3 linked regions of the Macaca fascicularis genome follow. The protein of the gene in region 2 purifies or fractionates together with the protein of the main gene of each other region. This does not show direct contact. Links are inferred from orthologs where the notes say so. Each region holds a gene or a part of one and is shown on either strand. Other genes may lie near its edges.

Evidence for each region.
Region 1: the proteins of PHLPP1 (region 2) and SUGT1 purify together in Homo sapiens (affinity purification with mass spectrometry; 5 studies listed by BioGRID and IntAct, with this or other methods). This does not show direct contact. The link is inferred for Macaca fascicularis from reciprocal best matches to the Homo sapiens genes PHLPP1 and SUGT1.
Region 3: the proteins of PHLPP1 (region 2) and USP1 purify together in Homo sapiens (affinity purification with mass spectrometry; 6 studies listed by BioGRID and IntAct, counting the BioPlex papers as one, with this or other methods). This does not show direct contact. The link is inferred for Macaca fascicularis from reciprocal best matches to the Homo sapiens genes PHLPP1 and USP1.

Annotation. Positions count from the first base shown.
Region 1 is NC_088391.1:31,870,016-31,878,579, forward strand, and holds part of SUGT1 (protein SGT1 homolog), read left to right. Parts: intron 1-1,310; coding exon 1,311-1,364; intron 1,365-1,765; coding exon 1,766-1,782; intron 1,783-2,695; coding exon 2,696-2,718; intron 2,719-4,378; coding exon 4,379-4,475; intron 4,476-5,546; coding exon 5,547-5,654; intron 5,655-8,564. UniProt on the Homo sapiens protein: May play a role in ubiquitination and subsequent proteasomal degradation of target proteins.
Region 2 is NC_088392.1:17,855,991-17,864,167, reverse strand, and holds the end of PHLPP1 (PH domain leucine-rich repeat-containing protein phosphatase 1), read left to right. Parts: coding exon 1-41; intron 42-2,651; coding exon 2,652-3,821; 3' UTR 3,822-4,814; downstream 4,815-8,177. UniProt on the Homo sapiens protein: Protein phosphatase involved in regulation of Akt and PKC signaling.
Region 3 is NC_088375.1:172,258,941-172,267,504, forward strand, and holds part of USP1 (ubiquitin carboxyl-terminal hydrolase 1), read right to left. Parts: intron 6,629-8,564; 5' UTR 6,563-6,628; coding exon 6,393-6,562; intron 4,695-6,392; coding exon 4,574-4,694; intron 4,019-4,573; coding exon 3,914-4,018; intron 3,057-3,913; coding exon 2,896-3,056; intron 1,484-2,895; coding exon 792-1,483; intron 1-791. UniProt on the Homo sapiens protein: Negative regulator of DNA damage repair which specifically deubiquitinates monoubiquitinated FANCD2. Also involved in PCNA-mediated translesion synthesis (TLS) by deubiquitinating monoubiquitinated PCNA.

The DNA of each region.
Region 1 (8,564 bases), on a different chromosome or scaffold from region 2:
ATCCAGGCCATAGTGCAGTAGTGCGATCTTGGCTCACTGCAACCTCTGCCTCCAGAGTTCAGGTGATTTTCCTGCCTCAGCCTCCTGAGCAGCTGGGACTACAGGCATGCACCACCATGCCTGGCTAATTTTTGTATTTTTAGTAGAGATGGGGTTTCGTCGTGTTGGCCAAGCTGGTCTCAAACTCCTGACCTCAAGTGATCCACCTGCATTGACCTCCCAAAGTGCTGGGGTTACAGCTATGAGCCACCATGCCCGGCCAAAATCTGGGAAAAAGTTAAGTTAAGCTTTTAGGCTTCTATTTTTATCAGACAGGGTAAAGAATTTTTACCTTTTCCCCTCTTTGTGTGATAAATTGGTTGGTTTTAGTTACTGATTATTTAAAATAATAGGTTACTCAAATCTAAGATTTTGATATAATAGTTCTCTGGAATACAGTGTGTGTGAGAGAGTGTATTTAGAATTTTTATTAAGGCTGGTATAGTTGAATTTCTTTTATATATTAGTAAAGTAGAAATTTTTGTTAAGAAATTTCTAACTTAAAATTTTCAAATTAATCTTCCCTGAAGTTAACTTGAATTAATAAGCTTTTCTTTAGAGTACTTTTAATATTTTTAACGTATCTTACTATGTACAGTGACTGTTTAAATGTAATCATTGTTCTGTGTCTCCAGAAATGAATAATTTGTTTATGCATTCATTTACACTGTTATCTGTAAATATGTAATACATCACCTATAGCCCCTCGACTGCCGTGTAACTTGGAGATATGACAAACTTCACAGAATTTAAGGATACTTAGTGTTGGTAGGAAGGGCATGGTAACAGATAAAGCCACTGAGAGAATAGTGGACTGAATAGGTATCTGCATTGAAGAGCAAGCTGGGGCTGGGAAGGGCTTTTGGACCTCAACTCAGCTCCCAGTTACCAAGCTTCCTCCCCACCCTAACTGATGGCATATTGAGAGTTTGATTTACGTCTGATTTTGTTGTGTGTGTGAGGAAACTTCTTTAAGAGCAGCGAGATTGGGAGAAATGTAGATTATTTTTATCTGTGAAATTAATAAGGTTGACTGTAGTTAAAATTTTTTAGAAATCAAAATGTTACATGATGAACAACTAAATGTTAAACTATTGGTATATTGATAACTATAGAAGGGTTGGCAATAAGGTCTGTTAAGACAGATTTTGTTCACTACTGACTCCCCAGTGCCTAGAACAGTGCCTGGGATGTAGTAGGTATTCAGTAAGTATTTGTTGATTAATAGGTTGTGCAGATGAATGATGTTATAGTCAGTTTTTTCTTTCTAGGTGCAGATGCTAATTTCAGTGTCTGGATTAAAAGGTGTCAAGAAGCTCAGAATGGTATGTGGGTCTCCCTTGGTATTTAGTTTAAAAAGAAATAAACATCTGAATTTTTTTCGGTTTAAACAAATTTGTTTTTACCTTTATAATTTCTTTTAAATAGTATATGTTTCCTTAGATGTGGACTTCCAAAGATACACTGGTTTTTGCATAGCTTCTTATGTTGAATGGGAGATTAGGGTGGATTTGTTTGTGTGGTGTATCAGTAAGAAATTACAAGGAGTCTAAGATGAATTCAGAATGCAAAATGAAACCACTTTCTTTTGGGTAGTTTTCTTTAGTTGAAAAGTATGTAGAATTTGCTTGCTTAATCAGTATGTTTGTGCTATAGGAATCATATAAATAACTTTGCTTATAAATGCACTGTTACCTGAAAATGTTTCCTTTTTATGTTTTAATAGGCTCAGAATCTGAGGTGGTAAGTCCACAGTTTTCATTCTTCATGTTTTTATTATTTATTTTAAATTTCAAATACCAAATATATTTGAGACAAGACTCAGGATGAGCTGTCTGATAATTAAATATTGAGTAATTTCGTTTAAGTGCTGGTTCCTCTAGGAACTGAAATAAAATCATTTTTTGATGAATATAGAAGTTTCCAGTCATGAAAATTATTGGCCTATTTTAATGAATTTAGTGTGTGGTTAAAGTTGATTTCGTGTGTTTTAGTATGGTCAGGATGATTATTTATCTTTTTGTTGCTAAAACCTTATTGCATTTATTTAGGTTAAACAGTTTGAATCACTTGAAGGGGTTTTTGTGATAGTCTAAGACAAAAGTTAAAGAAAATTGGAAATTGACAGGGTCTTGCCCTGTCATGCTGGCTGGAGTGCAGTGGTGCCATCATAGTGCACTTGAGCTTCAAACTCCTGGGCTCAAGCAGTCTTCCCACCTCAGCCTCCCAAGTAGCTGGGACTACAGGTGTACACCACCAAACCTGGCTAATATACTCTGTTTCTTTAAAACAATGTTGTTTTAGTTTAGGGAGTTGCTCAATCTTAGAACTGGCCATTTTATATAAGCAACCTTTTCTAATCATGCCTTTAGAAGTTTTCTGTTACTTAAAGCTCTGTTGTTTTAGAGGAAAAATCTTCTATGAAATTGAAACTAAGATTTTTTTAAGTGCTGAACATTCTAATTTTTTTTGAAAACTAGTCGTATTTAACAATTACAATTACCATACTTTGAATAAAATTTTCATGTAGTTATTTTGTATCAAAATAACTGCAGTGTTGGATAAATTAATAATATGTGCATTTTAATATACAGTTGCTAAACTGACTTGTAAAAATCTTTCTCTTTCAACTTGCCGAAATCAATCTGCATCCCAGTGGACTCACCAGTCAAAAATCAAGTAAGTGTTTCTTTTTCATAAAACAATGCATGATAGATATTCCTAAAGAAGAAGAAACCCTGTAGTTTAATAGTAAGTAAATTCTTACCATGTGATTTTTAAGTTTTTGTTTTCTAAGATTGTGGTAATAGCTTTATGTAAAGCTAATTTTAAGGCTGTTTAAGAATTAATATTTATACTTAAGTTAAATCCAAATCATTTCTCATCTTTAAAGTTGCTTCACTTGATTTCATACTATGTTACCTTTGCATATGTTAAGGAGCGTCTCTTCCAGTTAAGTTTATGGTACTACACAGATAAACAAGTTAGTAGTAGACCTAACAGAATTGTAACTTACCCTGCCTTTTGTATTTGGAGCAAATTTTTATAGGAACATTCTCTATGAGTTGAAAGTTAATTGCTGAGGGCAGCAATTATAATAATGAATAAGCAACTAGCAAGTTTCTGACTTTTAATTATTCATTAGCCTGTGTACAGCTTGTATTCTTAGGACTGTAACAGAAACAAGCCATTGCTCTGGAGCTTTGCATCCTTACTGAATTGCAAAGAGAAACTGAGACTCTTAAAGTTAATTTCTTTAATCAAGTTGGTTTTGGATATAATTACCTAAAATGGCCTGGAAATGTTAAAAACAATCTATTCATGGTGATTGTGGGGAGATACAGGATAAAACTCCAAGTACCTAGTAGATGAGGAACTTTGACTTGCCCTGGCGGCAGCAGCAGGGGTAGGGCACATAACCATGAAATAATAAGGTGTTCAGAGCATAAAATAATCCAACATCTGACTTAATTTACGTGTACCAGACACTGTGCTTTGTCCTAGGAATATAATAGTGACAGGATAAACAGTTTTGCCCTCAGGGAATTTTTAATCTAGTCTAATTTGAAAGTGAGAATTCCCTATTTTTGTACTGAAACTCTGTTTTTAGAGTTTCAAACTCTTCACATTTTGAGAGTATCACTCAAAAGATGTAGATAGTAGTGTAATTTAGTAGGAAAAAACTCTTAGAGTTTCAGTACAAAAGGTGCACATAATTAGAATCTAGACCCATTAGTCTTCCCATGTATCTTGAAATTGAAGGAAAGTGTTGTATATGGTGTTGTGCCTGACATAGTTAAACTTTATATGATTTTAATTTTAGCTCATTTGCCCCTGTTTCCTGTGCTAAAGTCTATCAGCTTCCAACTTCAGTTATGAGAGCTTGGAGTGTTGACTCAGGCTTATTGCTTCACCTTTCTGAGTTTAAGTTTTATCATCTGTAAAATAGGGATTTAAGTGATTATCTTTAGTATTTGGATGACATGAGTGTAAAAACTTTGTTAATGACATGTAAATATTAGCTGTTTAAAATAAATGGCATCTTTAATATTTATATTAGTTTAAGCACAACAGTGTTGGAGATGAGTCAGAACCCAGAAAATCATGCAAGTATTTAAGTCTGCTGGAAAGGTGTGAGCATCATCTACCTTACCATTTTTTTCCTTTAGTACAGAGCATAAAAAACTAGTTAAGTAAAGTTGTTTCTGTGAATCAATAGCTGCTTTGCTGTTTTCTTCCTCCAGGTGGAGCTCTTGTTGTTTATCAGACTAGTTTTTGTTTTGACAATAGCTTTAAGAAAATTAGAAGTGTTATTTAAGTTTCTTTCTTTTTTTAATAGGTATGACTGGTATCAAACCGAATCTCAAGTAGTTATTACACTTATGATCAAGAATGTTCAGAAGAATGATGTAAATGTGGAATTTTCAGAAAAAGAGGTCAGTAGACTTTGAATCATTTTTCAATGTTAATTACTATTATTTGTAAATTTAGTATATTGCAGAATAATCTATAACGCTTTATCAGATAAATATCATTTCTTCCTGAGATGATGTGGAAAACGCTGAGTAAAATCTGAAGCCATTGCTTTGAGATAAGAATATGTATGTTGGTAAGTTATAGCTGGATGTGCTTTTTTTCCCTTCAGATTTGAAATTTAGAGCAGAATTTCGTTACATTAGTAAGATAATGTGATTTGTTTATACTTTTGTGGTGTACTTCATGAAAAAGATCTAGTTTTGTGATCACACATGTCTTAGAATTGACTAACCATGTTAAATGAATGTGACTTTTTTTTTTGTTTTTTGAGACAGAGTGTCCCTCTTGCCCAGGCTGGAGTGCAGTGTCGCGATTTAGACTCACTGCAACCTCCTCCTCCTGGGTTCAAGCAATTCTTCTGCCTCAGCCTCCTGAGTAGTTGGGACTACAGGCCCATCCCACTGTGCCTGGCGAATTTTTGTAGCAATGGAGTTTCGCCATGTTGGCCAGGCTGTTGTTGAACTCCTAACCTCAAGTGATCCACCCACCTCGGCCTCCCAAAGTGCTGGGATTAGAGGCATGAATCACTGTGCCCAGCCTCTTGAGTATGACTTTTAACAACTTGATTTCTTAGCATTTAGTAGAGAACCTTTTAATAGATAATTTAGAAGAGATAGTGATAGAGCTGTGTGTTTTGCACATGAATTACTTTTTGTTATATATCATTTTGCTTTTGTATGTTTTCTTGAGATTTAAATGTCAAATAGGTGTGATTATATGACAAATATTATGAAACTTACTCTTTTCTGCTGTTTAATGATATATATAAGAATTCATGTCAAGGATAACAGATGGAAAAAAAAAAAAGGTTCTTAAATCTTTCAGAACCTTTTGAGGTTCTTAAATCTAAAATCCCATATGTAATGTTTAAAATAATTTGTAACATTGAAGATTTATAATTATTTTGTCTAGGTTTTTTACCCTCCATTATATACATTTGCAAAATGTGATGGTAATTTTGTGTTCATTAGTTGTCTGCTTTGGTTAAACTTCCTTCTGGAGAGGATTACAATTTGAAACTGGAACTTCTTCATCCTATAATACCAGAACAGAGCACGTTTAAAGTACTTTCAACAAAGGTAAGACAATTGAAAAGGTTTGTTGCTAGTAATATTTTCAGAATTATAGAAATACTGGTGAACTGATCACCGATGTGTTTATGAGCTTGTAGATTCTTTCAGCCCTTTATATTTACAAGGGACAGGGAAAAGAAGAATGATAACTTTTGAGTGTAAGGGTTATTTTACCTCTCAAATTCTAGTACAGTAAAGTGTAAAAATCCACTTAGCTTGTGTGGTGTTTGTGCACTTATTAAAACAGATATAATGTTTTTCAATAAAGAGATTTTTTTAAAAGATACAATAATGAGCCTATCTTTTAAGATTGGATACTGGCCGGGCGCGGTGGCTCAAGCCTGTAATCCCAGCACTTTGGGAGGCCGAGACGGGCGGATCACGAGGTCAGGAGATCAAGACCATCCGGGCTAACACGGTGAAACCCCGTCTCTACTAAAAATACAAAAAATTAGCCGGGCGTGGTGGCGGGCGCCTGTAGTCCCAGCTACTCGGGAGGCTGAGGCAGGAGAATGGCGTAAACCCGGGAGGCAGAGCTTGCAGTGAGCTGAGATCCGGCCACTGTACTCCAGCCTGGGTGACAGAGCGAGACTCCGTCTCAAAAAAAAAAAAAAAAAAAAAAAGATTGGATACCGACAGTGTCTCTTCTCTTGAACTTGTCAGTTTTGTTTGTTTTGATGTACACATACTTTTCTCACCCTACCTCATGCAGTTAAAAATACAAACTACTATAAAGATGAATCCTCCTTTTTTTTTTTTTTTGAGATAGAGTCTTCTTCTGTCGCCCAGGCTGAAGTGCAGTGGCACTGTCTCGGCTCACTGCAACCTCTGCCTCCTGGATTCAAGCAGTTCTCCTGCTTTAGCCTCCCAAGTAGCTGGGACTACAGGCATGTGCCACCACACCCTGCTAAATTTTTGTATTTTTAGTAGAGATGGGGTTTCACCATGTTGGCCAGGCTGGTCTCCAGGTCCTGACCTTGTCCTTTTTTTTTTTTTTTTTTTTTTTTTTAATTAAAATGAATTTTACGTTACTTTGTAATGAGGGAACAATGAATAAATTATAGTTTGAGTAGTTTTTAGATTCCTTTATAGTTTCTAAAAGAAGTAGAGATATACAATAGAATTAATGTTCAGAGAGTATCACTCAAAAGATGTAGATAGTAGTGTAATTTAGTAGGAAAAATACTGAATTGAAAATTTAAAAATCTGACTCTGGATCTTTGCTTGCCCTGTGAATTTAGTCTAGGCACAAAATGACTATAAGACTGAATTTTCAGCACCTTTGAAAGGAGGGCTGTGGACCAAATGAACTCTGGAGTCCTTTCAGCTGTAGAATTGTGTGAAGGTATATGATAAATGAGTTAATGGGAATAAATGATATAGGTAGGCTTTTTCCATTACTTTTTTTTTTTTTTTGAGATGGAGTCTAGCTGTGTCACCAGGCTGGAGTACAGTGTTGTGATCTCAGCTCACTGCAACCTCCGCCTCCTTGAATCGGGTTCAAGTGATTCTCCTGCGTCAGCCTCCTGAGTAGCTGGGATTATAGTCACGTACTGCCACACACAGCTAATTTTTGTATTTTTGGTAGAGACGGGATTTCACTATGTTGGCCAGGATAGTCTTGATCTCCTGACCTCGTGATCCGCCCACCTTGGCCTCCCGAACTGCTGGGATTACAGATGTGAGCCACCGCACCTGGCCTACTACTTTTTTATACACAAGTCCTGCAGCATACTGTGCTACTATTTATTAGGTTGAAGCTCTAAGGACATGTGAAGCTTCCTGTTGTGGAACAGGATCGGGGCTGGCCTGTGTCGTGAAGAATGATAGTTGGGCTTGCAAAAAGGAGACAGCTGCAGAGTGTTGGAGAAGGAAGTGCAAAGTGAAGTAGTTTTTGCATCTAGTTAAAAAGGATCTGCCTATTTATTTGAAGATTGTCAAGAACAAAGCTGGTTAATTATGAGGCAGATTTTTGAAATAGCTGCTTGGGACAGTAGAAATTGAGGAAAGGGACAAAATCTTACCAGGATTTTGGTCTGTCACTGGTCCTATCCACATAGTATAGAATTTGTTTAATAAAAGAATTATTTTGAGTAATCAAGCACAAAATAGGTAGATTTGAGAGGGATATAGTTCAGAAAATTATGAATTTGACTTTTTTTGATATGTCTATCGAGATTGCTAATGCAAGTGAGCCGAAATCACGCCACTGAACTCCAGCTTGGGCAACAGTGAGAGAGACTCTGTCTCAAAAAAAAAAAAAAAAAAAAGTTAATGCATGTCCATTTGGAGTTATTTAAATCGAGTGTGAATAAATGATAAATGACTTAAGAACTTATATTACTGAGCCACCTCCTATGGTGGAAGAATATCATGTGTGGTAAATACACAGATGTGTGGCAAGAGTCGAGGATAATTAAGCATTCTTACCTCTTTTTTCTCTTTTGAGTCTTGGATTTGTTAATTTTAACCATTCTTCAACCATACTACTGTGTTCTCAGTTTGCCTCTTCTGCCCCTTTCCTCTTTAAAGAAAAGCTTTTCTTTTTTGTATAGTAGTTTATGTATACATTTCATGTCCCTCATTTCTATGCAAGTCCTTGAGGATAAGAAGCATGTTTTATTTGTATCTTTGTACGTGCCCCAGTTAGGATCCCCAGATAAAGTACAAGATGCTCACTTAAGTTTGTATTTCAGATAAACAATGAATATTTTATGTAAGTATGTTTCATGCTATATTTTTATTTGTCAAACTTGGCAGCCCTCACCACGTACATTGTACAGTGGGTGCTTAGTTCAGTGAATGAATTAAAATTGGATTTTGGTTTTAGTCCCATGACATTGGCAGAGTATTTTTATTCTTAGTTTTGCAGGTGGAAAAAAAATCTGAGGTTAATAGACTTTAAATACTTTCCCC
Region 2 (8,177 bases):
AGCTGAAGAGGATTAAACAGCACAAGGCCATTATCACTGAGGTGAGAAAAGAGGGCTTTTCCCCAGGATGGTGGAGAGGAGAGGAGACCAGATCATAGCAGAAACTAGCTAGGGAGCATTTGCCTTCAAAGAACACTTTTTGAAGTTGGTTCGACATTAGAATTCCAAACCCATAGTATCACAAAGCAAATGTCTTACATTATGACGTATGCTTGTCAGTTGCCTCTCTGCATCAGGCACTGTGCTGCGTGCTTCGTGGGCACGATCCCATTCCATGTTTGCAGCCACTCTACAGAGGGCTGCTTTGGTGGTTGAGGGCTCTACCCCTGACATCACACTACTAGTTTTCATGTCTTAGCTCTGCCACTTGCAGGCTGTAACCTTTAAACCTCTCTAAGCCTCAGTTTTCTCATCTGTAAAGTGGGAATAATCATGCATCTGTCCTATCTTACAAGGTTGGTACGACTTGTAAACTATGAAGGTCTATGTAAGTGTAAGTCGTTGTTATTTTGGTTCATGTCTCACGTCTCATTTGAGTACACAGTGAGCAGTTCTCAGCTAGGGGCAGTTTGCTTCCCCACAAGACGTTTGGCAGCATATGGAGACATTTTTGGTCATCACAGTTGGGGCGGAGAGTGCGATTGGCATGCAGTGGATTGAGACCACTGAGCATCCTACAGCGCTGCTAGGACAATGCCGCTCAACACCCCACAATGCACAGGGCAGTCCCCACAGCACGGACTGTGGTGTGTGTGTTTGGAGGACGTGTCTCAAGGTAGAGAAGTAAAATACAATACAAAACAAAACCTCATTGTTGAGTATTAAGCAATGCAAACAAAAGCGGGGAAGAGGCGAGGCACGGAAAACAAGAGAAGTCTGACGTGCAAACCATGATTCATGTAGGCTGCTGAAATCATTTACCTTCAATTGTGTTTGGCATAGTGTTGAACTAAAGTTGAATTCAGTGCATTCTGTCCACATTAGACTGTCTTCTGCTCCCTAACACAGTGTCTGCCATCCATGTTCATCCTCTCTGCTCCAAGAATAGACAGAGAACAAATTCACACAGACTCATTTGCACAGAATCCCATGTATAGCTTGAGTGTTTCTGTTTCTTTCTTAAGGCCCTCATCAAAGCCTATGTGGAATCAGTCTTTTTTCTCTACTGGACTATAAGCTTTCACCAGAGTCCACCTCAAACTGTACGTGGTTCTGTGGGTTTTATCAACAGTGTAAGACTGGAAACTTCTTGAAGGTAGATGTTTATCTGCAGGTCACTGCTGTCTGCCCATGTCATTTTTTCAGGCACAGGGCAAATGACCAACACCTTGATGAATTAGCGAATGGAGCAGAACTCCTGGAGCCCATGTTGGAAGCTTCAGTGCTCATGAATCACAAAACCATTGGTTCTGATGGAGAGAAATCTAAAGGGATGGGCAGAACAGCAAGAACAGTTTCTGCCAAATTCCATGCTTTGGGGACAGATTATGTCAGTAGAATCAAGGCAGTTTAAGGTTGTGCTTGAAGCCCATCTTACTAATTGTACTAATAGGAATGCTTATCTGCTTATAAGTGTGGTGTGGCAAAGTTGTGTGAGAAGCTGGGAAAGACATCCCTAGGACAAGCAGGCACCTTGCCAAATCCCAAATAAAGGAAAGTGGTAGGACTGGAAAGGAAATGGATGTTCTCTGGAAGAAACACTTGCTCATCCCAGACAGGGATTTGTTGTAATGAAGCCTTTCCTGGAAAGAGGTGTTAAAACTAGGGCATGTAGAGATATGTCATGGACCTTAGAATCTCAAAATTTGAAGAATAAAGAACAAAGCAGGTACACATGGAAAAAAAAATCTTTTTATTGGCAAGTGGTCTGGCACTTTGGTAATTGATTTAAATAGCATGCACACAGCTGAACTAAAGCCAGCAGATCTTGCCTTCTCCATTGGTCAACAGGAAATCAAGTTCGAGGAAGTTGTAAGAATTGGCATTTCTTCTTTAGCATCTGTTCTCCTGACAGGAGCATTCTTACCCACCTAGTCATGCCAAGGTTTTCTCCACCTCTTAAGTACTTTCAAGTCCTCTCTGGACTTTTAGACACTACAGCCACTTGTGATCATGGAGAGCAATGGAAGATTCAGGAGCATTGTCTTGATATATGCCTGCCTCGTGTATCTTTGCTCAGGACTGGCTTCTGTCAGAAAGACTCTTCCTACCTCAGAGTCTTCCTACGCCCAGCCCGTCTGAGGGCCGATCCTTGATCACCATGTTCACTGAGGGAGGGAAGATGTAAACCCACCTTTATAGGAGGAGCTGGCCAGCTATGCTTGCTGTGTGTAAGGCTAGATGATGGCTTGCTTTAGATAAACAGCAGGACTTGTGACCTAGTGTGAATGGGGTCCCAGTAACACACATAACCAAAATCTTTTCCTTTTGTCCCTACTGCTCTTTACCTGCCCAGGCCTACTACCTGGGGATTCTGATGACAGGTGCACATTAACTACTCACTAGAGAGTGAGCCCTTCTTTCCTCTGTGGGCCACACAGCACTTCTTTGTGGTCCTACAGTTGAGACAGTCGAAGGACCCGCAGGGAACCTGCACAGTTGCCACAGGTGCTCTGTATTAACTGTCTCTCTGCAAACCCTTGTTCTTCCAGGATGGCAAGGTGAACGGGGTGACTGAGTCCACGCGCATCCTGGGCTACACCTTCCTCCACCCCAGTGTGGTGCCTCGCCCCCACGTGCAGTCCGTGCTCCTGACCCCCCAGGATGAGTTCTTCATCCTAGGCAGTAAGGGGTTGTGGGATAGCCTGTCCCTCGAGGAGGCCGTGGAGGCCGTGCGCAATGTTCCCGACGCCCTGGCTGCCGCCAAGAAGCTGTGTACCCTGGCCCAGAGCTACGGCTGCCACGACAGCATCAGCGCTGTGGTGGTGCAGCTCAGTGTCACCGAGGACAGCTTCTGCTGCTGCGAGCTCAGCGCCGGTGGGGCCGTGCCACCACCCAGCCCTGGCATCTTCCCTCCCTCAGTGAACATGGTGATCAAGGATCGGCCCTCAGACGGGTTGGGCGTGCCGTCCTCCAGCAGCGGCATGGCTTCCGAGATCAGCAGTGAGCTCTCCACTTCCGAGATGAGCAGCGAGGTGGGGTCCACAGCCTCCGATGAGCCCCCGCCCGGAGCCCTAAGCGAGAACAGCCCTGCCTACCCCAGTGAGCAGCGCTGCATGCTCCACCCCGTCTGTCTGTCCAACTCCTTCCAGCGCCAGCTGTCCAGCGCCACGTTCTCTAGCGCCTTCTCCGACAACGGCCTTGACAGTGACGATGAGGAGCCCATCGAGGGCGTCTTCACCAATGGCAGCCGGGTGGAGGTGGAGGTGGACATCCACTGCAGCCGGGCCAAGGAGAAGGAGAAACAGCAGCACCTGCTTCAGGTGCCAGCAGAGGCCAGCGATGAGGGCATTGTCATCAGCGCCAACGAGGATGAGCCGGGTCTGCCCAGGAAGGCAGACTTCTCTGCCGTTGGGACCATTGGGCGCCGGAGGGCCAATGGCTCTGTTGCGCCCCAGGAAAGGAGCCACAATATGATAGAGGTGGCTACAGATGCACCTCTTCGAAAGCCTGGAGGCTATTTTGCTGCCCCGGCTCAGCCAGATCCCGATGATCAGTTTATCATACCCCCGGAGCTGGAAGAGGAGGTCAAAGAAATCATGAAGCATCACCAGGAGCAACAGCAGCAGCAGCAGCCACCACCGCCACCTCAGCTCCAGCCGCAGCTGCCGCGGCACTACCAACTGGACCAGCTGCCAGATTATTACGACACGCCACTATGACCCAGCCGAGCTATTTAACAAATAAACTAACCACAAAATACCAAGTTGCAAGAGTCTCTCAGGCTCACATTAAACCAGGGGTTTTACTCCACGTCCTTCCCCCGGACACTGTTCCCAACCTGTCGTCGCAGCTAATCTGTAGGTTCTCTTTCTTTGGGTTATTTTTTAAAATAATCACCACTTTCTTCTAGTGATGCTTTACCAATATGATTTACATTTGTTAACTTCTCCCCCTAACATATCAGATATGTAAAGACAAAGAGCAAAAGGTTTAATATATTACAGAGAAACAGTTAATGATAATGTGCTATTTTTTAAAATGGCTTTTTGTTGTTTTGTTTGTTTGGAAGGCAGGGCAGGCTGCCGTTGCTAAATGATTTAATAATATTGTAATTCTGTATTTCTTTGGGGGGAAAAGGATTTTTTTTTTTTTTTTTTTTTGGTCTTGAAAATAATAGACATTTGTAGAATATGGAGACTAACTCCTAGGAGTTGCTTTACTCTGTCAGGTGACTTAAGTCACTGGGATTCACTAATTTTCTCTGAGAGAACAGCGATTGAGAATTTCTATTGTAAATAGCTCAGTGTTGTATAGTGAGGCTTACGATGTTTTGTAGTCTTGGCGTGAGGACACAGCCCAAGTAACTGACGTTTCCCCTTCCCCTCCCCTCTGAGGAGCCTGCCTGCCTCCCAACTCACCCTCACTTCACTGAATGAGGAGGCTGAGCAGCTGCAGCGTTTCTGTCCAGAGGAAGTGGATCTTAGGCCACCACACAAGAGCCTGCACCCAAAGGCCCTAAACCCGTTTTCCTCCCTGTCCCAGCCTCTCCACTTTGACAGACAATTTTTAACTGTGTTCCTTACTGCTGCCACAATCAGCATGGCTGTATAGTGCCCCATTAGGCCATTTACATACCCAGAGTTACACTCAAGCAGAATGCACAAATGGACATGTCATAATTTTTGTTATAATAAATATGAAATTTACAAGTATTTACAAGTATCTGCTTTTGTCTCAGCAGCCAGATGTGTCTTGGAGACAGTCACACTAGCTTGGGTTTGGAAAGAATGGATGGAATATTGGGGTTATCAGATATTTCTGATTTTTTTTTAAAGAGAAAAACATCCGTTAACCTACATTGAATGAAATGTGAAATTAACTGAATGCTAAACAGTATAATTAGCTGATCTTATAGCTTTTCTTTTCTTTTCTCTTTTCTTTCTTTTCCTTTTCCTTTTTCTTTTTCTTTTTCTTTCTCTTTTTCTTTTTGAAATGGAGTCTCACTCTGTCTCCCAGGCTGTAGCGCAGTGGTGTGTTCTCTGCCCACTGCAACCTCCGCCTTCCGGGTTCAAGTGATTCTCCTGCTTCAGCCTTCTGAATACTTGGCATTACAGGCACACACCACCACGCCCAGCTAATTTTCATATTTTTAGTAAAGATAGGGTTTCACCATGTTGGCCAGGCCGATCTCATACTCCTAACCTCAAGTGATCCGCCTACCTCAGCCTCCCCAAAGTGCTGGGATTACAGGTGTGAGCCACCGTGCCAGGCCTGATCTTACAGCTTTTCTATTTCTTCTTACGACTTAGGGTAAGATGTTTGGGTACTTCTTAGGGAAGATGTGAGAAGGGGGACAGACAGAGGTTGTACAGATAGAGGCGATCCCTGGACAACCTTACTCTCACGAAGCCAAGATGGTTTTCAGTTTTCTGGGGGCCTGTAGCTCACATAAGCGGGTTAAGCTGCCTCTTACTGGGACAGGGTCAGTCGAGCTGGTTGGCTTGCCCTCCACCACCAGCAGGAATCATGTAGGTGCAGCGGCGTATCCTTAGAAAGCCAGTATTCCCAGCTACTACTCAACCGCGTTTACAGACAGTGGGCCTCCGCCCTCACCTCGCCCCCACCCTGCACTTGGAAACCGTGTGTGGAAGATACTGTTGGTCTTCATTTCACATGGACCACCTTCCTATGTAGACCTGGCTTTCTTCTTTAGGTCCGCCCTTGGGTGGGACCTGGCTAGTTCAGTGACAGGGTAGTTCTTATTTCTTAACTAGTAGACTCGGTGGTGGGCTCTGCATCCCCCTCTAGGAGGCCGCTGGGTGGACTTTGTCTTCATAATGGCCGTACTTCACTTCCATGTCAGGCTACTTGCACACAGTGCTCTTTGGAAACCACTGAGGCCATGGAAGAGAATTGCCTCATCTCGGCCCAGTGAGGGACCCAGGGACCAAGGGAGCTGACTCCCCAGTGCAGGCGGAGCACTCTGGCTGAGACTGGAAGCTGAACCACCTCGGGACCCCTGCCCTGGTTCACTTGCCAGCCCCTTGCCTTCTCCCTGGGGCTGCCCCACTGGGTTGAAGCAGATGTGGACAACTCCAAGCTTTCACGCCAATGCCTTAGGTCCTGCAGGTCTGGGCTGGTTCTCTGACTTCCTCAGTTCTTAAATCCACCTCTGGGCAGGGTTCACCTGTCCCCGTGGCTGGAGCAGACCCAGGCCGTGTATGTGGATCTCTTCCACTGCAGCTCACTTCCAGAGCGGTCAGAACCGGCTCAGCGTGGCCCACGGAGGCAGCAGTCGCTTCCAGATTCTAAAATCGGCCCCATAGCAACTCTGGCCGGGGCAGCCCCTGGGACCCAGAAGCTGTGATGCAGGGACGCCTCATTTCCTAACTTCTGTGTCTGCTGCAGGAGAAAGGGGTATGAGGCTTGGAATTGCTCTTTTCCTGAGTCCTCCGGTTTAGTTGTGCTTGCTGCTGGGTTTATTGTCTCTTACGGTCTCATTGTGCACATACTACATGTAAGGCACCTTGGAGATATGGAGTGAGACTCTGCCCTTTGGAGGCTTGGGGTAAGTAGGGCATTTAGATGAAAAGCTAATTCAGTCGAGCACATGATGAGTGACCAAAGTGGCACAGACTTACTGATAGGTCTCCATGCTCTTGCATGGGAGCTGCCTCAGTTATTTCTGAGGAGTTTCTTTGCATTTCTGTTTATCCAGATACCATCTAATAGTATATGTAGAGCTGCTTATACAACTGAAAGTGTTTTCTGAATATTAAAGTCCTTAATATTTGAAGATCCCTGAAGCCACAGTGTCTGCAGGGTAAGTGCTAAGGAGAAGGGCATCCCCGCCTGCTCTATTCCCTGCTTCCTGCTGGAAATCCAGGTAATTAGGAAAGGGCTTTTGAGGGGAGAGAAAGGAAGAAATGAAAGCGAAAGGGGAGAGCTCTGGTGAGCCTTGCCAGGAGAAGAGCCCCTGATCAAGGACCCTTGAAACTGTTTGGTGTTGGATCCAGTGCGTGCTGCCCACCCTGTGCTGCCCTCAAGCTTCCTGCCCTTTGCTCCCGCTCCTGAACACTGGCTTTGATGAGAGGTAGCAGAGCCAATCTCTGGGGCCCAGAAACCCCACCTGCCTGCCTTGGTTTCTCTTGATTGCTTTTGTCACAGCACCACCTGCTGGTAAGCTTAGACTTTGGGTGGAAATGGGCTTCATTCTTCTTTATCCTTTCTTCACTTTCCCAGAAGAAACAAAGTGTTTAAGTTTCTTATCACTGTATTTTCCTAAACACATGATAGCAATCTCCTATACCACTGGCAAGTATAGCAGAGAAGCTGTGTTTCCGCTTTTGTTTCCGCTTTTTAAGACAGTAGAAGTGATGACAGCTGGTTCCTGTGATGAGCCTGATTTTCCTTGGGAAATCGACATGCAGAAATATTAAGATGTATAACCAGAATCATATAGTTTTGCTGGGAGAGAAGTCTGTCTTCAACATCCATCTAATTTCCAATTCCCCTTTCTCCACGGTTAAAAAAAGCGAAACCCAAAGCATCTGTTGACATGTTTTGGACCTCATAGGATAACACCTGAGAGTCCCCTCACCACTGGCACTGCAGGGGAGAGAAGAATTCCATTTGATCATGTGAACATTCATCAAAGGGTATTTTGAGTTCATTCCTGACATGGTATCAGAAGATAGAATTTCAGGCCGGGCACGGTGGCTCATGCCTGTAATCCCAGCACTTAGGGAGGCCGAGGCAGGTGGATCACCTGAGGTCAGGAGTTCGAGACCAGTCTGGCCAACATACTGAAATCCCGTCTCTACTAAAAATACAAAAATTAGCCAGGTGCGGTGGTGCATGCCTGTAATTCCAGCTACTCGGGAGGCTGAGGCTGGAGAGTTGCTTGAACCCAGGAGGCGGAGGTTACAATGAGCCGAGATCACGCCACTGCATTCCAGCCTGGGTGATAGAGACTCTGTCACACACACACACAAAATTATTATTATTATTATACTTTAAGTTCTAGGGTACATGTGCACAATGTGCAGGTTTGTTGCATATGTATACATGTGCCA
Region 3 (8,564 bases), on a different chromosome or scaffold from region 2:
GTGGCCCAAGGAAGCCAAAAGATTAGATACCCCTGGTCTATACCATATAGGCTAGTTGTATAGTATGCGCTAGCATCTAGTTATGTAAGTACACTGTGATATTCGCACAATTAAATTAACAGCACATTTCTCAGAACATATTCCTGTTGTCAAGCAACACATGACTGTACTTAGTCTGTACTTTAAAAATTTCACTAAATGCAACGTCCTTCTTCAGTTTATGTCAAACATTGCATAAAGGGAAATGTATTCTTAAATGTACATTAAAATATACTGAACTTCCCTACTTTATGTATTTTTTTGAGACAGAGTCTTGCTCTGTCACCCCAGGCTGGAGTGCAGTGGCACAATCTTGGCTCCACCTCCTGGGTTCAGGCAAGTCTCCTGCCTCAGCCTCCCGAGTAGCTGGGACTACAGGCGTGCGCTACCATGCCTGGCTACTTTTTGTATTTTTAGTAGAGATGGGGTTTCACCATGTTGACCAGGCTGGTCTTGAACTCCTGACCTCAGATGATCTGCCCGCCTCGGCCTCCCAAAGTGCTGGGATTACAGGTGCGAGTTAACATACCCAGCCAAACTTCCCTACTTTATAAGCTGTAAATTAAAATTACTTTAATGACATTACACACACACACACACACACACACACGTAATACTATACACACACACTAACCTAAGCATAGCACTTCAAACACCATAGTTCACATTCAGTGTTAAATTTCCTTCTCTTGAAACAATTTTAGTCAGAGATTATATGCTCCTACCTATCAAAGTCTAAGAATTATACTAACCTTTGTTTATGGGTTTAACTTCATTAACATTCACAGGTGTAACAGTATTTCCTGGAGATTCAAATCCACAAGCATGAGTTGTGTTATCATTTTCATACTTCCCCAAGTCCTCTTCAGGATCATATTCATTTTCTTTAGATTGTCCTTTGGCTCCTTGGTTTGTTGTTATTTTTCCCAGACTACAGAATTTAGAAAGAATGCTGGGTTGCTTAGTTGCAGACTTTAACCAATTTATTTTAACTCTTGATTTCTTTTGTGAGGGTCTTGGACTCTCATTTTCAGAAATACACTTGGGAATTATTTTAGGAGGAATCTCTAATGTATCACTTGTAGCTTTTCTTTTTGATCTAGTTTGTCTCTGGTTCTCTTCCAATGACTGGTGTTCCTTGGATACTTTAACTTTTTTCTTCATGTTACCAAATTCAGTGTCACTTTTTCTTTTCCCATTTCCTTTTGGGAGTTTTTCTTTACAGTCTTCAGAATGCCTCACACTGTCCATCTCCATGCTGTTAATACCACTCATTTCCTCTTTCTGATGAGGTATTTCTTCTACCTTAGTAGGTAATTCTGCCACATTTTTTACTTCTTCTTTTTTTAGGAGTTGGCATGTTTCTTGAATGTTTCCCAAAATACACTGTAATACTTCCTGTGCATCATGCTGTAGATAGCCTTCATACATAGGGTTGAGTTCCCTATAAATAAAAATTTCCATTTCATCTATTCTAGTTTTGAAGATACAGTACATAAAATCTATATAGAAATTAATTCATGTAAGGAAAATCATAAATTATTTCATTTTTTAAATCTCAAGACATTTATTCAGCACTAATTTGGAATTTCTTACCTGTAACTAAAAGAGTAACTTGTACCCTACTTTCATTATAATACCTTGATCCTCTTCTAAATATAATAACTAATACTTAGATAATGCTTACCATATACCAGGTTTTAGTCAAAATGTTTTTTTATCTATGTATACATTATCTTCACAATAACCCTATGAGGTACTATTATCCCCACTATTTACAGATATAGGTACTAAGGCACAGAGAGGTTAATTAACTTGCCCAAGATCACAGAACTACTTAGGATGAAAAGCCAGTATTCAAATCAGCACGCTCTTGGCCACCACGCTACAATAGCTTTTTTTTTTTTTTTTTGGACAAGAGTCTTGCTCTGTTGCCCAGGCTGGAGTGCAGTGGCACAATCTTGGCTCACTGCAACCTCTTCCTCCCGGGTTCAAGCGATTCTCCTGCCTCTGTCTCCTGAGTAGCTGGGACTACAGGTGCGAACTACCACGACCAGCTAATTTTTGTATTTTCAGTAGGGGCGGGGTTTCACCATGTTGGCCACACTGGTCTTGAACTCCTGACCTCAAATGACCCACATACCTTAGCCTCCCAAAGTGCTGGGATTACAAGTGTGGGCTGTGACTGGCCTACAATACCTCTTAATTAAGGTATAGCAATAAATTGCACCTAGTTCTATTTTTAAACTGAATGCTTAAGTGATTGTTTTAAAGACTTGCCCTATTAGTATAATTTTATTTGAATAAGGCTATTTTATATATTGTTTCATTTTTAAGAAAATACCAAAAAGCAATCTAATCCAGTTAGCCAACAGTTCTCTAATCCCATATAACAAAAATAGAATATTTAGAATTTACAGTTCTTACACATATTTTGAATATAGTCCTATAATTCCTAATGTGAAATCCTTAGGACCACACATTTAGAAATTCAGACATTTTCAGATGCAATGATAATATGGCATATAAGTAAAATATTTATCACCGACATGATATGGGAGTACTCTATAATTAAATACATTACTACTTCTATAGAAGAATGTATGAATATTCACATTAGAGATAAATATGAATGACTATAAAAAGCCTCATATAATATATTCAAATCTAACAAATTTAGCACCAAATATATGAAAAAAATTTCCAGTATTCAGAGCCTCTGAGATACAAAGGACTGTGGACCTATAGTTTCTACTTTCCTTGCCCTTTTATTCCTGTTTCTTCACATACCATTCTCCTCCAAGGATATAAACAAGTAGTTAAATTGAAACCCTAAAATTATATTATAGGCTATACCTGAGTGTGTTAAGCAGTCGCCTTGGCTGAGTGGCAAGTTCATCAGTATATTTCTCTGGATTTAAGAGAAAACTAGCTTGGAGCTGTTCAACCGAAATGATTAAGGACTGTAAACTGCATATCAATTCATAACTTGCCAAAGAATCTTCTTTGCAATTTCCCTGTCAAGAAAGAAACACACAAACCAATAATTTTATGAACAAATTAAGTACCTTCCCCCTTTGTCTGTGTCTCACTTAAGAATACTAGGTTTTCTAAGTTGCATTATAGCACTAATTTTAAAGGATATACAAATAAGCCTTATTTTTTATTTTTTTGAGACAGGGTCTCTGTCACCCAGGCTGGAATGCAGTGGCTTGATCGCAGCTCACTGGAGCCTCAACCTCCTGAGATCAAGCAATCCTCCACCTCAGCCTCCCAATTAGCTGGAACTACAAGCTCACACCACCACGCCCTACTAGTTTTCATATCTTTAGTAGAGACAGGGTTTTGCCATGTTACCCAGGCTGGTCTCAAAATCTTGCACTCAAGCGATCCATCACCCACCCTCACCTCCCAAACTGCTGGGATTAGAGGCATGAGCCACCACGCCTCGTCTTTTTTTGTAATTTTAAGAGGAATTTTTGAATTACTATTTATGTGACTTACAATGGTTTTTTAATTATGGAAGTCAAAGATTTCTTTAAATACTGTGTAGTTACTTAAATTTTAAGTCAATTTGAAAACACAATGGGTAAATAGGTTGTACATGGGTGTGACATATTGTGATTATAGTACACAATAATGTATAGTATACAAGTAACAAAAGTTTGATACACATATTACAGGAGCAAACAATCTGTAAAAGGGAATTATCTAGTTAGCTACCTTGAAAGAATGAAAAATAATTGCCTGACAATAGTTCGTTAACAGAGAAATAATCTTTGTCACCCACCCCCGCAGTCTCTTCATTTCCAGGCAAGTAAATTTCCATTAATTTACTTTTGCTTTTTACATTATTTTCTGTTACTGTTCTTACCTTGTCTTTTTGATTGGCTTCATCCTTTAGAGCTTCTTTCTTCCTTGAAATAACATTAAATAAGTGCTTTACTCCAGATTTAAAACCGGGACAAAAATATAATACCTATAAAAAGTGAGACTGTCTAAGTGTTCACTGAACAATATACGTAAAATCATTAAAACAACATCATGCTTTCTATAGGCCCTTTTAATGTGTAGTACCTAAAATTCTGAGATTAAGTTTTGTGTCAAAATTTGTTCTCCACTTCATCAGTAGTAGCCCAGTGTATTCCCTCACTGGCACAAAGCACTGAGTCTGGGCAGATATTGCTAAGACTTTAAGGTTACAAGAACACACAACACAAAGCCAACGTTATTTCCAAGGGATAAGATACGTATTACTGTAGCACCAGCAATCAGAGAAAGAAATTAAAGGTTTGAACTTCCACTTAAGGTCTACTCAATTTTGCTATCCCACCTTTATTTAGTCTATCACTTTCTCTTATCCCAAAGCAAGTTTAACAACATGCAACGTATTATTTTAGCCTGTTCTGGTTCATTTACAATCAAAGGCAAAGACAGTATGGACATTAAAGTCCTCCAATAACTCAGAAACATTAAATGTTACATTATTCTTTGCCTACTAAAGTTTTGTTATATAGCAAAACTGTCAATTTACCTGAAGTATACTATTAAGATAGCAAGTATTGCCGAGATTATTCAGTCCCACAAATGGTAACAAGTTTTCTCTCTTCTCACAGTTTATAGGTGAAGACTGTGCTGCAGGAACAACTTGATCACTATTAAATATAGAAGGGGGAAAAGATAATCAAGTAGTTATCTCAAAGAAACAAGGTGAAAATATTACTTCCATAGATTTAGTCTTTTCCCAAAAGTTGTATAATCTGAAAAGTATGTGAATCTTGTTCAGATGACATTTTAAGAAATACAGGCTCAAAAACTGCTATATGCCCAGAATGAAAGTTTTTAAAACATTATTACACATACCAAGCCACAGAACAATTCCCTTAAAAGGATGTTAATCCTATTTTACAGAGCAAAAAATTGAGGAACTGAGAGACTGTGATTTGTTTTACCTACTTTGACATTTTAATCAAGTAGTGTAACTGAACAGAAACCTGGGAATAAATTAACCATGGCAATATTTGGGAGAGGCTGAACTAAGAAAGATTATATTAATAAGAATTCAAGGAAAAGAAAGTCTATGAAGAAAATTATATGGCCGGGCGCGGTGGCTCAAGCCTGTAATCCCAGCACTTTGGGAGGCGGAGACGGGCGGATCACGAGGTCAGGAGATCGAGACCATCCTGGCTAACACGGTGAAACCCCGTCTCTACTAAAAAATACAAAAAACTAGCCGGGAGAGGTGGCGGACAGCTGTAGTCCCAGCTACCCGGGAGGCTGAGGCAGGAGAATGGGGTAAACTCGGGAGGCGGAGCTTGCAGTGAGCTGAGATCCGGCCACTGCACTCCAGCCTGGGCGACAGAGCAAGACTGTCTCAAAAAAAAAAAAAATTATTTAGCTATCTCTCACTTAAAAATAAAATGTTCAGAAGGTGAGTGTGGTGGCACTGAGATGTAATCCCAGCTACTTTAGAGGACTGCTTGAGCCCAGGAGTTCAAGACCAGCCTGGGCAACACAAGGAGACCCCGTCTCAAAAAATAAATACATTATTATTCTTTTACTTCTTTAACAACAAAAAAAAACCCACTAGGTCTTCCCAGTATTTTATTTTACAATTGCTAGCTATTATTACTCCAGCACCTCAAAGTATTTAGAAGTATGAATGCTGATAAACAAAAGGTTCACTCTCAAACAATCTCCTCAACTGGTTATTGATAGCTATTGGAAATTAACACATGGGACCAAATCCACCTTAGTCACCCAGCAGAGTGACTATATGTTAAACAGGGAAGCAGTACAGACTCCAGCTAGAGCTGCTGGTGGTGGAATAAAGTATTTCACTTTGTTCTGATTTATTTTCTGTAGCTAAAGAATTTATTTGCATCAAAAGCATTACTTATTTTTAAGTTTATTTCTATAATTTGCAATCGTATGCCTCCAACAGGTATGACTAGTCACATGACTACAGTTTAAAATGTCTTATAACCGTCAAGTCTTCTGAACCAAACAAATATATATACATATATATATAACCTTTTACCCCTACACAAATGTTTTGCACGACAAATAAATTTAAACTCAGAAAGACAATTTTAATCTATGAATATTTCTCCAAGTTAGTCTACATGGCTGAGCACAGTGTTCATGAGTTAAACATTATGGATGTGATCCCTATGGGGAACCACCAGTTTTGCTGTTCCTACTATAAACGGCTAGACTTGACTTATTAAGAAGTACACTGAAGTGTACTTTTTTGTGCCTCTATAGACTATCAAGTCAGAGTGGAGGTGTCAACCAAGTTCACTGCTGCTTCACTGTAGAATTTTTAAAGTACAGAAATGTAAGATACATACATTTCAGATGCTCTATATTCAGAAGCTTTTTCTTCATTTTCTTGAGAATCTGTGAAATCCAAAGCTCTCTTAGTTTCCTTTTTCTGAAAAAACTTTAAGGAAAGTCTGTTTTTCTTTGATGGGCTACCTCTTGAAAGTCCATTACTTTCACTAGGTATGACACCAGGCATTTTTTTCTCAAATCCCAAGGAGTTGTCAATAATTAATTTATAGAGGAAAGTTGTAATCAATTATATCTGTTAATCACAGAGAAAAAATTTCATTAGTTTTCGGTTATCAGTTTTAGGCAACAAAATCATCAATTTTGAAAACAAATTTACCAAGGGAATGGTACAAATTAGAAATTAATATTTGAAAACCTAATGCCTGCCAATAGGCACTCAATATTTATTGCTTAAATGAAAAAGCTTACCACACTATTCTTAAAGAACAAAAAATAGAAGCTACTGAATTTTTAAAATCAGTCTGCTATGGATTAAGGGTCGCATTACAAAATATCCTATTTAGCAGACCTACAGTAAAGTAGTGTAAGTAGTAAAAACTTAATATTTCATTATAATAATTCATTCAGAAAAATTGAGCACTATCACCTCTAATTCTCAAGTACATGGAAAGGATGAATGGAAAATCAAAGTAGTGCTGGACGATAATGAGTCCTCTCTTCCAATGCCTTTTCTAGTTATTAACATGAATACATGAAAATAAAGTACCTAAAAAGTTTATTAAAGTATAATTTGCATTCAAGGCATAGAGATGGTGTTAAGATATACCTAAAACCGTAAAGTTTTATTATCTTTCAATAATAAAACACATGCAAAGTTGAGACAGTGATACAAAACACTGTTGGATGCACTTTGTGTAAATCCAATTCTTAATGAGCCAGAAATCACAATACTCGTTTTCCAAACTTTTTTTAAAACTTAGGATTCCAAAAATAGTGCTTTGAGTAGGAAAAAAGATGATTTGGTTTGCCATTTGCAACTTTCCCACCCTGTTTTAAAGCAAAACTTTCACAGGAAAAAATATGGCAACATTTGTAGGAGTTACTAATATTTTCTACATCAGTCCTATTTTTCAGGACATGTGAGGAAAAATTATCTAACTAGAGTATTACCATAATAAAATTACTTAAAGCCCAAAACTTCAGCAACGAGTTTCAAATTTAAAATGCAGAGTAATAAAATGAACTACACAAAACTCACTCAAATTCCATCCTTAATAAGCATTTCACGTGGCTGACACTGATCTAGGAATTCACACTAAACTCAGCACTGAAACCATTTTTAAGACCCAAGTCAGGAAGAACTGGAAAAGCTGATCAATCTCCCCATTCTGTCTCCAACTTCACTTACTCTCCTATCCACCTAATGCTTCACCTAATGCTTCTGAGGAAGCGCTGTCTTCTAAATGACAAACTAACCTACGCTAAGTTCTCAGGGATCGCCAAGCATTAATGATTCTGATAAAATGTTTTTCTCGAGAGCCAATTCTAATGGATGACAGAAACTGGATCTCAAACCGACAGAGTAACCAGACTTCACAGGAGGGAAGAATGATTAGGCAGGTGAAATAGCGGATCGTCAGCTTAATCAACAAACCAAACCTCCTAGTCCCTCAAAGCAATGTTCACACCGAGAATGTAACATTTTGCCAGGTGCAGTATCTTCCGTGCTATTATTTCTTGCTCCTGGCTTTCCTTATAACTGGGGGGGGCTGTTACATGCAAAATATTTCTCCTGTAACTAAGTCAACTTTCGCAGAAAGCACGACGAAACGACCATTATCTGTTGACAGCGTGAATACTCAGTCCCAACAGTTTTAAATTCTTTTTGAGATGACACGACTCGATTCCGATTTTTCAAGAAAAATATACAAGGACATCTTCGCCAAGGTTTAAGACGCGGCGTTCTAAACACTTCTGGAAAAAGTGTAAGTGAAAGAAAATGCGCGGTAAAATTTCGCAATTACTGACCGATCCAGGGCAACCTGCGTGGAAACGTTTCTTTCTCCCCAACCTTCACCGCTCTCGGGAACGGAAAGGAAGCTGGAAGAACCAGCAGCGACTAGGCTGCCGGGCCGGGGGAGGCTGGCGGCGGCGTTCTCGGCCCACACCCCCGCGCCGGGCGCCCTCGCCGCGGAGTTGGCCTATTTACGCCCAGCCCGCACCTGCCT